3 linked regions of the Macaca mulatta genome follow. The protein of the gene in region 1 interacts with the protein of each later gene in a pairwise test. Links are inferred from orthologs where the notes say so. Each region holds a gene or a part of one and is shown in the gene's direction. Other genes may lie near its edges.

Region 1 (4,342 bases):
GGCTTTTGGTAGAATAGATACTATAGGTGGGCAAATGTGGCGTAAATTCTTACTCAAAGGCTTCTTGCTGTAAGGCTTTAATTAAGGGCGTACGACATATAAGTATGGAATTTTTAAGTATCTTTAAAGAAAAATTTGATCCTTATTAGGCAAGATGAAAACTGTCTTTAACAGTTTGAGCCATATTTTAAATTCTTGGTAAAGGGGTGGGTAGAAGATTCAGATGAGGAGAAGGAAACAATAAGGAGACTGAATAGAATAAATGCCCAAGGCTAGTAAATAGGGTTAGAGGACAGAAAGAGAAAGTAGAAGAGTTGCTGTGAAAAGGAAAGGCTGTGGTGCAAGAAAAATCTGAGGATAGTTGACTGAGAGAAATAGAAAATAACTGGAGGGATGTTGATGAAAAGTGGTGGCTTAGTTTTAGAAAAAAGAGATTAGCCATTAGCACCCATAATTAAAACTTTCTGATTAGATTAGTAGTCAGAGGAATGCAGGGGGACATTAATTATTAGCCAAATTGGTCTTGTTGGAATAGCAGCCATGGTCTAAAACCAGATTACTAATGTTCAGATAACCATTTCTCTAAGCATTTAAGGATAGTGTTATCTACACTTGAAAGTTAAAGTATGGAGGAGTAGCTTGATCTCATGGAAGCTCTGGCTTTTTTTTTTTTTTTTTTTTTTGAGACGGAGTCTCACGCTGTTGCCCAGGCTGGAGTGCAGTGGCGCGATCTCGGCTCACTGCAAGCTCCGCCTCCTGGGTTCACGCCATTCTCCTGCCTCAGCCTCCTGAGTAGCTAGGACTACAGGCGCCCGCCACCGCGCCCGGCTAATTTTTTGTATTTTTAGTAGAGACGGGGTTTCACTGTGGTCTCGATCTCCTGACCTTGTGATCCGCCCGCCTCGGCCTCCCAAAGTGCTGGGATTACAGGCTTGAGCCACCGCCCAGGCTGGAGTGCAGTGGCGGGATCTCAGCTCACTGCAAGCTCCGCCTCCCGGGTTCACGCCATTCTCCTGTCTCAGCCTCCCAAGTAGCTGGGACTACAGGCGCCCGCCACTTCGCCCGGCTAGTTTTTTGTATTTTTTTTTTAGTAGAGACGGGGTTTCACCGTGTTAGCCAGGATGGTCTCGATCTCCTGACCTCGTGATCCGCCCGTCTCGGCCTCCCAAAGTGCTGGGATTACAGGCTTGAGCCACCGCGCCCGGCCGGAAGCTCTGGCTTTAAGAGTCCAGAGAACAAGATTCCAATCTCTACTGTCTCATTAACTTTAGTTATGTAACTGTACAAATCCTGTGTCTCTGAGTACAACATATGCACTTTTTTTTTGTACTGTGGTTTCTTTATGCTAATGTCTGTCATGGTAAATTATATTCTTCAGTTCTCATGTTAGATGTTTGTCTTTGGATCACAGGTACCCTCTTACCAATTATACTTTTGGTACAAAAGAGCCCCTCTATGAGAAGGACAGCTCTGTGGCAGCCAGATTTCAGCGCATGAGGGAAGAATTTGATAAAATTGGAATGAGGAGGACTGTAGAAGGGGTTCTGATTGTACATGAGCACCGGCTACCCCATGTGTTACTGCTACAGCTGGGAACAACTTTCTTCAAACTGTAAGTAGTGTTGGAAATTAACAGCAAGACAGTTTTTAGTAGGATTGCTGTTTATGCAGCTGTGGACTACAATTTTAGCCCTCGGTCATTTATTTCAACAAACACTGCTGTTAATGATGTCTTTAAAAAGAGAAAATCACGAGTAATTTTTCTCCATTGCGGTGCTCGTTTATTTTCCTAACTAGTAATCTGCGTGTTTCTATATGTTGTCGATGTTAGTGATTGAGCTTGGTAGAAACCCTGTGGAATAGTTGAGTTCAAGATCAATGTCTAGATGTCATTGTAGCATCACCAAGAACAATTGGTATTTCTTTCTTGGTATGATTTGCATTTCCTATTCTTAAGATGACTTAGGTTTTTGTGGATAACAGTTTATTTTTTTGTCATTTAAGCTCCTGCATCTCTCAAACATTTGATCCACAACTATTTGACTAGATTATACCAAAAAGAAAGGTCTCCAATACTTAGATGGCGCTCTTGAAAAAGTGTCCCATTGTTTAGGCCTAAAGAATATGATCCATTCCTCTCTGGGCATTTCTAGACTCCATTATCATCAGATAGCTTCCAGAGACGAGATTGGGATGGACTGGTGGTTAGCAATTTTGTTTATGTTTGTGCTATGTTATGTATTCTGTTGGTTTAAAACTAGGGTTTATGTGATGGGTACATATGGACATAAAGTTGGAAAAAATGAACACTGTATACTCCAAAGGTGGGGAGCGGGAGGGAGAGGCGAGAGTTGAAATACTTCCTGTTAGATGTTATGTTCACTGTTTTGGTGATTGGTTCACTAGAAGCCTAAACCTTAGCATTACACAATATACCTATGTAATAAACTTGTACATGTACCCCTTGAATCGACAATAAAATAAAAATAAATATATACAAAGAGGAAAAAAACCTAGGGTTTGTATACTGTTAGTCTGGGGAATTGACATGAATTCAAGCATATTCTCCCCCTTCACTTTGATACTTGTTTTGATTGCCTTATTACACTGAAATATGTTACTTAGTGACTTGATAGACATAACATTTATTGTGTTCTTTGTTATCTCCAAATTGCATTAAGTTGAAAGCTGAAATTCTTAACTTTTATACAGACCTGGTGGTGAACTTAACCCAGGAGAAGATGAAGTTGAAGGACTAAAACGCTTAATGACAGAGGTATTTTTCTGTTTAACCTAACTTTGCATACCATCAACTTAATAGTTAATTTGGCTTTTAATGTCTTGTAAAAAGGATGTTTATTTTGGAATATTGAGTTTTCAATAAATACAACTTAAACCCCAGAATGTTAGTACAATGTTGATTTTTTTTACAAGTTGAACTTACACTTACTTCAATTTTTAAAATGTTAAACTGTGTCACAGCAATGATAAAAACTGACATTTAAGTATTACTGTGCTAGACACTGTTCTAAGTGCTTTACATGTGCTAATTCCTTTAATCACCACCACAACTCTAGGAAGCAGATATTATTAAGTTTAAATTACTTCTTGTTATATAGCTAGTGTGTTGTAGAGCTAGAGGTTTGAATGCAGGTAGTTTTGTTCAAGAGTAGGCCTCTATGGAATTTTGAAAAGAGAAAGACGCCTGTGTTTTCACTTTTTTCACATATTTTTTAGACTTTGCCCAAATTATTCTACTTTTAAAAAATCATTGTAATGCCTGCATGTAAAGACTTGGGGCCAAATGCATAGATACTGAGGATTTTGAGACTGTAAGTTGTTTTCAATGTTTGTTTTCTTCTTTAACATGCAGTTGCCGCCTGCCCCCTTTACAAAACTCATACATTCTCTGTGCAAAAAGCTTGGCAAACACAGAAAAGCAAAGGAGAAACAAAACTAAAGTCACCTGTAATTCTCCTACTTTTGACCTATTGGTTTGTCTTTCTAGTATTTCTAAAAATGTATTATAACTCTTAAACATTTACTGTGCTTGGACTTCCATTTATGTAATGTCTGGTACAAAGATGTAAGTGCAGTAGGATTGAGGGAGTGCAAAATGAGAGACTCACAAAAGCAAAATTTTTGGAAACTGGAAAACAGATGGGCAAATTATAACTAACTTGGCAGAAACCTTAGTCCAACAGACAGGCAGGCAGAATCCAACACTGCAGAGTACCAGAATGACTGAGGAACTGAAGGTGCTAGGTACTTATGAAAGTGGGGGCATGCATGGGCTGAAAACTGGACTGGTTCAAAGTATATATGAAGTATATTTATACAGGTTGAGTATTCCCTGTCTGAGAGCTTGGGACCAGAAGTGTTTAGCTACTATTTGATAGCACAATAGGGTGATTATAGTCAGTAATCACTTAATTGTAAATTTTAAAATAACTAAAAGAGTATAATTGGATTGTTTGTAACACAAAGGATAAATGCTTGAGGGGGTGGATACCCTGTTCTCCATGATGTGAATATTATGCATTGCATGCCTGTATCAAAACATCTTGTGTACCCCATACATATATACATCTACTATATATGCAAAAAAATTAAAAAGTGATTAGGATTTGGGATTTTTTTTCAGGTTTTGGAATATTTGCATTATGCTTACCAGTTAAGCATCCCATATACAAAACTTGAAATGCTGCAATGAACATTTCCTTTTTTTTTTTTTTTTTCTTGAGACGACGTCTCTCTCTTGTCACCCAGGCTAGAGTGCAATGGTGTAATCTCGGCTCACTGTAACATCCACCTCCCGGGTTTAAGCGATTCTCCTGCCTCA
Region 2 (5,000 bases), on another chromosome or scaffold:
ACAAAGATCAAGACCACTAAATTCTTAAACAGTGATGAATGTAAGGTAACAACTACATCTTAGGATCAAATTAGAGTTACTGTAAGAAAGCATTCCTACTATCATGAGTGGATTTGAAAACATGTTGAAAAATCCCATCGAAGCTGACAGAGCACTGAACCAACTTCTACCTGGAACTTGGTGACAGTGACTGATTTGTCTCTAACCATAAAGCCCATCAAAAACCAAGATTGTCTACTTAGTAGTAAAAAATAATAACGACGATGATAGGAGGATTCTGCTGAACTCATGTTTTCAATGGACCAAAAAAATCTTCCCCTAGGTATGGAGAAGTAACTCAAGTGGAAAGAAGGGATGCTTGAAATTATTGCAAACTCTTTATTCATTACATAGATTAGCCACTGGTGGGTACCATGCATCCAGGATTTATGAAGATTTCAAATACGCCGTCCTTTTGCCCCCATAACCACACTCAAACTCGTGAGACCATGTGCCTCTATTTTTAATTACGAAAATAAGGACGCTGTATCTCCACCGGTGGTTAGAACTGCGAAACATCCCAACCACAACGTCCAGAAGGGCGACTGATCGCAGAGCTTCAAGTGATCTTAACTACGTTATGTGTTCCTGACACACTACAGCTGTGTTCCGAGGGTCTGGGACGCAGGGCAGAACCATTACTGTATTAAGCTTTCCCGCTCATGGGACGCGGTGCTCAGTCCCCGGGGACCGACAGGGGCTCCACCAACAACTCTGCGCCTCCCTCTCGCGGCCCGGACGGCAGCAGCGCAGGTAACTGGAAATGACTGGCAAGAAAAGCACCTTTTAAAATAACAAAAACAAACCACTTATCAGGAACTTTTCCAGCCTGGAATGAGGAATATTTATAAAAACAGTGGTAGAATATTAGGACATTTCTAGGCCCAGTTTCACCAAGTGAAAAGACCTGGGATAAGACGAGCCCAGGGCTGCACTGGACTTGCGGGATGCAGAGACTAACCAGAAGGGCCCTGCCGTCGAGGGACCCTAATCTCTGTACGCTTCGGGGGCGCCCGGGTGGCAGCCGGTGTCCCGCCGCGTCCCTGAGAGGCTTCGGCCTTGTCCGACCCCAGGCTGAAGATCAGGTGGCCCGGGGCCAGCACGTTACCTGCAGCAGGTGCAGCTGGGCCACGAGACCCCGCGGCAGGTGGAGGAAGCAGTCGCGAGCGTTGGTGAAGGCCACAGTCACTGCCGCCCCGCCTCCCCCAGCACCCGCCAGGCGATCGCTGCCCCACATCGTCCCGAAGCGTCGCTCTGGGTTTGCCCACCCTAGCGCCGCAAAGGACACGGGACCTGGCAGGCCGAGGACGTCGGAACCGGAGGAGATCGATCGGCCCCGCCCCCTGAGGCCCCGCCCCCTCTCCCCGCTGCGCGTCTCGCCGTAAGCCTGTAGTGGGGTGGGACAAGAAAGCTTCTGTCACCCACCGCGCCTCTCCGCCAAGCCGCTCGGGGGCGGCACCTCGTTCATCAAATCCTCGCACGCAGGAAACGATGGCCGACGCTGTCGATTCTTCAGCCAATCCTGACACTCCTTAACTCATCCCGCTCTCTTATTGGATAAAAGGGAGGTCAGCAGGGCGGATGTTGTCCTCCCTGCGAGGATCAAAGTAGGCAAGATGGCGTCCAGCGGTGGGGAGTTAGGGAGTTTATTTGACCACCACGTCCAGAGGGCGGTGTGCGACACGCGGGCCAAATATCGGGAGGGACGACGGCCTCGTGCTGTCAAGGTAAAGTGATTTTTGGTTTCATTCGCTCTCCTCGGTAGCTTTTTGTGAGCGCTAGCGCCATATGGCTAACCTACGGAAATAAAGGCACGACAAGGCTTCCGTCAGATCTGTCGCTCATTAGAGCTGGCGTGAAGAACCCTGGGCCAGGTACCAAAGATTCTCACGACCCTTTTGGTCAACTATTAGAACATCAACTCCACGAGAATAGGGCTTGGTTTTAGTCATTGGATCTTCAGTGTTTACAGTACTACTTGGCACAGGTAAGCGCTCAGTGAATATTCGTTGAGTGATTGTTCCCAGTGACTTCTGCCGACTCAATTTCTGGAAAAAAATGTCGACTGAAGGTAGTCTGTTATATGCCTTAGGTAGCCTCTCACATGGACTGTTACTCTTTATGCAGAGGGAATGGCAGAAATTTTATTTTGTGTTTTTTGCTGACTGGGTTGAACAGATTATTTCTTGTTTTCAAAGTTCTGTTTAAAAAAAAAAATAGAGGCAGATTCGTCCTAGGCTTATTTGCGAAATACGTTTAATAACTATGCATTTCTTTCAGGTATATACAATCAATTTGGAATCTCAGTACTTATTAATACAAGGAGTTCCTGCTGTGGGAGTCATGAAGGAATTAGTTGAGCGATTCGCTTTATATGGTGCAATTGAACAGTACAATGCGCTAGATGAATACCCAGCAGAAGACTTTACTGAAGTTTATCTTATTAAATTTATGAACTTACAAAGTGCAAGGTAAGGTGCAAGTTAAGCAATGACTCGTTTCATTTCCTCCATTCATATTTCTGTCATTTTGGCCCCAAGTTTCCCTCATTCATATCTGAATTACCCCAAAATGTAATCTAGCATATCTTCCTACAGCCTTTTTACAGGTTAACTTTACTGAAACACTGTATCCATCACATCCCATGCTTAACAATTTAATGTCCTGTAGCGTGGTAGAGTAAAAGTTGGGTTTGGCCAGGCACGGTGGCTTACGCCTGCAATCACAGCACTCTGGGAGGCCGAGGCAGGCGGATCACGAGGTGAGGAGTTTGAGACCAGCCTGGCCAACATGGTGAAACCCCGTCTCTACTAAAAATACAAAATTAGCCGGGTCTAGTGGCGCATACCTGTAATCCCAGCTACTCAGGAGGCTGAGGCAGGAGAATTGCTTGAACCCAGGAGGCAGAGGTTGCAGTGAGCCGAGATTGCGCCATTGCACTCCAGCCAGGGCAACAAGAGGGGATCTCCGCCTCAAAGAAAAAAAAAATGGGTTTGAGGGCTGGGCGCCAATAACTCACGCCTCACGCCTGTAATCAGAGTACTTTGGGAGACCGAGGCAGGCAGATCACTTGAGGTCAGGGGTTCAAGACCAGCCTGGCCAACATGATGGAAACCCCGGCTCTACTAAAAATACAAAAATTAGCTGGGTGTGGTGGTGCAGACCCGTAGTCCCAGCTACTCAGGTGGCTGAGGCATGGGAATCGCTTGAACCCGGGAGGTGGAGATTGCAGTGAGCAGAAATCACACCACTGCACTCCAGCCTGGATGACAGAGCGAGGCTCTGTCTCAAAAAAAAAAAAAAAAAACAGAAAAAATTTGGGTTTGGCGCCAGGCATGTGGCTCACACCTGTAATCCCAGCAGTTTGGGAGGTGGAGGTAGGCGGATCACCTGAGGTCAGGAGTTCAAGACCAGTCTGGCCAACATGGTGAAACCCTGACTCTACTAAATACAAAAATTAGCTGTGTTGGTGCAAGCCTTTAATCCCAGCTCCTGGGGAGGCTGAGGCACAAGGATCACTTGAACCCAGAAAGTAGAGGTTGCAGTGAGCCAAGATCATGCCATTGCACTCCAGCCTGGAAAGAGTGAGACTGTCCCAGAAAAAAAGAAAAGAAAAGAAAAAAAAGTTGAATTTGATCCCAGCACTATGGAAGGCCAAGGTGGGCAGACAGCTTGAGCCCAGGAGTTCGAGACCCGACTGGCCAACATGGCAAAACCTCACCTCTGCTAAAAATACAAAAATCAAGGTGGGCGTGGTAGTGCATTCCTGTAGTCCCAGCTACTTGGGAGGCTGAGGTGGGAGAATCAGTTGAGCCCAGGAGGTGGAGGTTGCAGTGAGTCATTTATGGACCACTGCACTCCATCTTGGGTGATGGAGTGAGACTATGTCTCAAAAGAAAAAAAAATGTTGGGTTTGGAGTAAGTTTTCCATTTCCACTGCTTACTAGCTTTGTGATCTTGGACAAGTTATTTAACCTGTTTAAGTTTTTCCTGTTCCGTAAAATCTATATGGTAAAGGGACCTATCTACTTCTTGAGGTTGTATGAGGATGAAATGAGATAATCCATATAAAGGGTTTAGCAGAGTGCCTCCTGGTCAGAATACAGTAAGCATTAGCTATTGTGGTTTCTACTGTTACTCCTTTCTGCAAATTGACTCAGTGTTTTCCGGCCTTCTATGTGACATAAACCCTCTGCTCCAAAAAGGCTGAAGTATGCAATGCCTTATCTATTTTTATGTTGATCTCTGTTCTCCTCACTAATCTGCTCTGAGACCCATCCTTCTCTGGCTGTTACAATTCATATTTTCTTTCATGTGCTATCAGTAGAAATCATAATCTACCACAAAAGCACTTGATTTTACTGGGTCATGTGTGGTTTTCTCAGGCTGCTGTTATATGTAATCTCACTTTCTTAACCAATCTGCCAGCTGTCATGGTTAGAGAAATATTTTCTCGAGCTTTTCTGTTTTCCAAAGTACCTAGTCTAGTAGGCTCTGAAGTAAGACATCTGGATTTGAATCCTTGCTCCTCAAACCAGAGTATGAGCATGGCTAAGTTATGTAATGTCCCAGTGCTTCTGTTTCATTACAGGGTTGTTGTTAGGTGTTAATTCAAGTGAAGCACTTACAACATTGCCTGGCATATGGTAAAATCTGAGCAAGTATTTGTCATTATCCCTGGATACAGAAGTAGTTAAATTTATTGTAGTACCTGGCCAATCATAGATGTTTAGTAAGTATTTATTGACTGAATAACATTCTTCTCATTTTCTCATTGTTATATGTTTAATAGTTCCTCAGTTATTGAACGTTTTATGATTATAGTATTTTTCATCTGATTTTTAAGGCAAGAATCCCATTACAGAAATACATTGTGCTGAAAAAGCTTAATTGGGTATGAAGTAACTCTTCAGGGCCACAGAGAAAAGCTCTATTTTATGACCACAGTTTATATACTTCAG
Region 3 (4,839 bases), on another chromosome or scaffold:
AATTCCAGCTTCTCGGGAGGCTAAGGCAGGAGAATCACTTTAACCCGGGAGGTGGAGGTTGCAGTGAGCTGAGACCGTGCCACTGCACTCCAGCCTGGGCGATAGAGCAAGACTCAGTTTAAAAAAACAAAAAACAAGAAACAGCATGGCCTGGCCGGGCGCAGTGGCTCACTCCTATAATCCTAGCACTTCAGGAGGCCAAGGCAGGAGGATCACTTGAGCCCAGGAGTTCGAGACCAGCCTGGGCAACATAGTGAGATTCTCTATTTAAAAAAAAAAAAATTACAAGGCCAGGCGTGGTGGCTCACACCTGTAATCTCAGCATTTTGGGAGGCAGAAGTGGGCAGATCATTTGAGCTCAGGAGTTTGAGACCAGCCTGAGCAACATGGCAAAACCATGTCTCTACAAAAAAATAAAAAAATTAGCTAGGCGTGGTGGTGTACACTTGTAGTCCCAGCTACTTCGAAAGCTGATGTGAATCACTGGAGCCCAGGAGGTGGAAGTTGCAGTGAGCCATGATGATGTCACTGCATTCCAGCTGGGTGACAGAGGGAGACCCTATCTAAAAAAAAAAAAAAAAATTACAATTGTTATGTTCATATTATTGTTTACAAAAATATATGGAAAAAGCCAGGGGCAGTGGCTCATGCCTGTAATCCCAGCACTTTGGGAGGCTGAAGCAAGTGTATGACCTGAGGTCAAGAGTTTGAGAGCAGCCTGCCCAACATGGTGAAAACTCATCTCTACCAGAAATACAAAAAATTAGCGGTGAACCTGTAGTCCCAGCTACTCGGGAGGCTGAGGCAGGAGAATCGCTTAAACACGGGAGGCGGAGGTTGCAGTGAGCCGAGACTGCTCCACTGCACTCCAGCCTGGGTGACAGGAGCGAAACAACGTCTCGGAAAAAAGCATTGCCTGGGTGAGTGAAGGAGGGAAAGCAGGGACTCAGACGTTGTGTCTGGGATTCAGGAGAGAAGATGACTGAGGAGGAGGTGGAGACTGTTCTGGCAGGACATGAGGACAGCAACGGCTGCATCAACTACGAGGGTGAGGGGCCAAAAAAGCAGGAGCGGGGCCGGGGGAGGAGGGGAGCCCGGCGTCTTGCCGCGTGTGGGTGGGGGCACCCCTGAATTATCTAGAGTCAGATGTATTATCCAGAGGCCTGCTTCTGAAGCCCCTCTTGCCTCCTCTCTTTGCAGCCTTCTTGAAACACATCCTAAGCGTCTGAGTGCTACAGGTAGGGCCTTCCCACCCCTTCACCGCGCCTTAAGAGGCAAGTCTCCCGCGCTTCTCAGCCAGCATAGAAAAGCAGCGGAGTTCGTTCTGCTGTCCGGTTGCTGCGCGGGCTCCAGCGCTTGGCAACTTTCGTTTTTTTCCACAGATCCAGTGGGGTCCGGACACTGGGCCCCGCGGGCGGAAGCACGTTCCAGCCACCAGGAGGCCACCTATTGTTTCAAAATAAAGACTGGGTTCCTCTCTTCGTTTCAGACTATTTTTTTCATGGTTGGGGGAGCAAGGGGAGACGGGGAGGGTGCTAGGAGGAGAGGGCGGGAAAAGAAGGCTCTCTCCTCTTCCAGTCCTCTAATGTTCCTGTTGTTGGGAGGCGCAGATTAATTGTGCCCCACGCCCCCCCCACTCCCATCCCCGAGCGGTTCTGTGCCCAGGTAGGGCTGGAGAAACGAACAGCGGGCCCCGCCCACGTCATTACTAATGTAGCAATTATCTGCATAAACCCAGGTCACGGTTCCTATTGGCTGAGTCCGCTGAGGGTGACGTCATTGGGACGTACTAAGACTAGGGTTGGGCCGAGAGTCGGAGCCATTACTGCAGGAAAAGGTCCCGCAGAGCTGAGCAGTCAAGATGGTGGGGCCCAGGTCCTGGGAGATGGGCAGGATTGGGGGCGAGAGGTGGGAAGAGACGGGTGGGGGGGCGAGGAGAAGGCAGGGGTAGGAGGCAAAGGGAACCTGAGGACCCGAAAGGTTGGAGGTGGGGTTGGAAAGCCTGGGGCCCTATCCTGCGGGGAAGCGAGTCTGCAGCCTGAAACAGGAGTTTGTGGGGCTGGGATAGAAACTCGGGGGATTGGCGTTCAGATGCTGACCACTTCCCTCTTCTCTGAGCAGTGTGACTTCACCGAAGACCAGACCGCAGGTAGGTTATCTCTGATCCCTACCGAGGTCACCCTTAGGGAGAGGGACACCCGCCCCCCAGCACCTATCCTCTAATCTTAATCTGTCATCTCTTTAGCACCCCTATGAGGTTACCCCCTGGATTATTTTCTCTTCTTTTGGATCCTCCATTTTCTTTTCTCACTTTCTTCCTCCCTCCCCTTCCACTCTAGATCTGAGTCCCAAGCACTGGGTGAGTTTTAGGTGGTGTGGGTATGTGAAAAAACTTGGTCACCTAATGCCTGCTGTTTGTGGGGTCTGGGGAGGGTGTATAAAGCTGCCTGCTCTCCTTTGTCCCTTAATCAGCTACTTCTGTCTTTTTTCTCCTCCTGTGATAACTGCCCCTGACCTCCCAGCTTGCAGTTGTGAAGACTGTAGAGCAGTGACTTGATATTCTGTGCAGATGGGGACAGGACAGGGGAGTTTGCTAAGGATATGACTGTAGCTCTACCCTCTGGAAGTTCTCTTTGTACTGGAGGGGTGCAAAGTGGCAGGTTGGGATGACCCTGGTCCCAGGCTGCTGCTCTCACTTCCTTATAAGGACAGGACTGAGACTGGGCGGTGGCGAATTCCTGCCCTGAGAAGTGTAGTAGCAGCAGTGGAGATTGGCAGGTCTGCCGCAGGCAGAGGGGGATGTGTAAATGGATGTTACCAGGCTGCCAGAGGGGGAGGAAGGCTCTATATAGGACACCTGAGTTGGGAGGAAGATAAATAGATCCCTCTTAAGTACACTTCGGTGTACAGTTTGGTGCAGATATCTGGTTTCCTCAGCATGATCAAAGTTGAATGGGCAGCAGGCTCTGAGGTAGGGTTTGGGTTAACCCTCAAATCCTGTGTTGACATTCATCTGAATCCTCAGAGTTCAAGGAGGCCTTCCAGCTGTTTGACCGAACAGGTGATGGCAAGATCCTGTACAGCCAGTGTGGGGACGTGATGAGGGCCCTGGGCCAGAACCCTACCAACGCCGAGGTGCTCAAGGTCCTGGGGAACCCCAAGAGTGATGGTGAGGGGCCTCAAGAACAACAACTCAGTGTGGTCATGGGCCCACAGTTCTTCAGCTAAGAGCTTCCCTTTATCTTCATAGGCCCCAAACTCAAAAGTCTGGATTAGCAAATCCCATGGATTTCCCTGCTTAGGAGGGAGTCATCTCTCTGTTCAGTTGAGGTCTCTATTATCCCCCGTCCTGAGAACTTGTGTTACTTCTCTGGCCTGACACTTCCACCTCCTTTATGGCAGAGATGAACGTGAAGGTGCTGGACTTTGAGCACTTTCTGCCCATGCTGCAGACAGTGGCCAAGAACAAGGACCAGGGCACCTATGAGGATTATGTCGAAGGACTTCGGGTGTTTGACAAGGAAGGAAATGGCACTGTCATGGGTGCTGAAATCCGGCATGTTCTTGTCACACTGGGTAAGGTTCTGTGTCCTTGTCCTTGAGCTGAGATGCCACCCTGAATACCTCACTTGTCTCCCAATTCCAAAGATGCTCTCTTTCCCCCTGCAGGTGAGAAGATGACAGAGGAAGAAGTAGAGATGCTGGTGGCAGGGCACGAGGACAGCAATGGTTGTATCAACTATGAAGGTAAGGGGTGAACTGCGCTTTCGCAGCCACATGGGGCAGGTCAAGTATAGTGTTTGGGGCTTTCCCTATCCCTGGACGTGGGCTCCAAAAAGAGCCAGGAGGCAAGGTGCAGGGCCCTGCCCAGCCCAGCCCAGGAGTGGGAGGTCAGGGGGGTGTAACAGGAAAGGAAGGAGTAGTATTGTAGAGGGTGGGAAGGAATGAGAAGTGAAATAATGGAATGTCTGTCCCCACCGCCTGACCCCTCACCCCATGTCTGTGTCTTGTCTTCACCATGAATGTCTCTTCCTTCCTGCAGCGTTTGTGAGGCATATCCTGTCGGGGTGACGGGCCCATGGGGCGGGTACGGCTCCTCCCAGCCTCTCCCCTAGTTGATCTCCCCAGTGTTTCTTTTTTCCTCAACCTGTGCTCTTTATCCCCTGCCCTTACCCTACTACCATCTGACTTCCTCCTGGCATGTTTCTGCATGGAGCTGACTAGGGAGGGGAGGGATTCCTCATAGAGGAATACAGCCTGGGGGTAAGGTACCTCTTTACTTCTAGAATGGGCCTTGAGGTTTTACTTATAGGGCCCTGGGTGCTGGTGTCTGGGAACTCTCACCAGCCTGTATACCAGTCTTGCTTTAGGGTGACCTTCTGGCCCTGGAGCATGGGTAGCTGGCATAGAGGGGTATGGGTTGCCTGCCCCATTCTGCTGCTATAGCTGAACAGTCCTTTCCCCTTCCCTCGCTGGGCAGCTTGGAGGTACCCTAACCCAAAACTCTTGTCCTCTCCTCCCGCCAGTGGCTGACAGTAGCTGTAGGTGTAGTTGAGAACTTTTCTGCCTCTGCTGTGTTCTTGCTGCTCAGGGTGGGGAGGGGCACTAACAGCTGGTGGGAGGGGAGCTAGGGGCAGGGAGAACTGGTCAGACTCAAGGTGGCTCCTCTGCAAACTGACCCCAGGGTTGGTTGCTGTGGGCATGTTCCCTCTTATGCTACCTTTGCAGTCTTGTAGTCCCCTGGCCCTTGGTGTACCCCTCCACAGCCCTGTTCCCTGGCTCATTCCACCTTTCCTTTCCACAGAGCTCGTCCGCATGGTGCTGAATGGCTGAGGACCC

What was found.
Region 2: the proteins of NUDT21 (region 1) and RBM48 interact in a two-hybrid assay, tested with the Homo sapiens proteins (2 studies listed by BioGRID and IntAct). The link is inferred for Macaca mulatta from reciprocal best matches to the Homo sapiens genes NUDT21 and RBM48.
Region 3: the proteins of NUDT21 (region 1) and MYL6 interact in binary tests that used the Homo sapiens proteins (3 or more experiments, as listed by UniProt). The two-hybrid records come from large-scale screens. The link is inferred for Macaca mulatta from reciprocal best matches to the Homo sapiens genes NUDT21 and MYL6.

What each region holds. Positions count from the first base shown.
Region 1 is NC_133425.1:52,003,539-52,007,880, reverse strand, and holds part of NUDT21 (cleavage and polyadenylation specificity factor subunit 5), read left to right. Parts: intron 1-1,411; coding exon 1,412-1,612; intron 1,613-2,712; coding exon 2,713-2,776; intron 2,777-4,342. UniProt on the Homo sapiens protein: Component of the cleavage factor Im (CFIm) complex that functions as an activator of the pre-mRNA 3'-end cleavage and polyadenylation processing required for the maturation of pre-mRNA into functional mRNAs.
Region 2 is NC_133408.1:126,862,269-126,867,268, reverse strand, and holds the start of RBM48 (RNA-binding protein 48), read left to right. Parts: upstream 1-1,625; 5' UTR 1,626-1,655; coding exon 1,656-1,766; intron 1,767-2,319; coding exon 2,320-2,510; intron 2,511-5,000. Other genes in the region: peroxisomal ATPase PEX1, read right to left, coding at 1,148-1,276. UniProt on the Homo sapiens protein: As a component of the minor spliceosome, involved in the splicing of U12-type introns in pre-mRNAs.
Region 3 is NC_133416.1:63,309,216-63,314,054, forward strand, and holds the start of MYL6 (myosin light polypeptide 6), read left to right. Parts: upstream 1-1,818; 5' UTR 1,819-1,861; coding exon 1,862-1,864; intron 1,865-2,121; coding exon 2,122-2,149; intron 2,150-3,025; coding exon 3,026-3,169; intron 3,170-3,402; coding exon 3,403-3,576; intron 3,577-3,669; coding exon 3,670-3,747; intron 3,748-4,042; coding exon 4,043-4,071; 3' UTR 4,072-4,087; intron 4,088-4,804; coding exon of another isoform or gene 4,805-4,833; 3' UTR 4,834-4,839. UniProt on the Homo sapiens protein: Regulatory light chain of myosin. Does not bind calcium.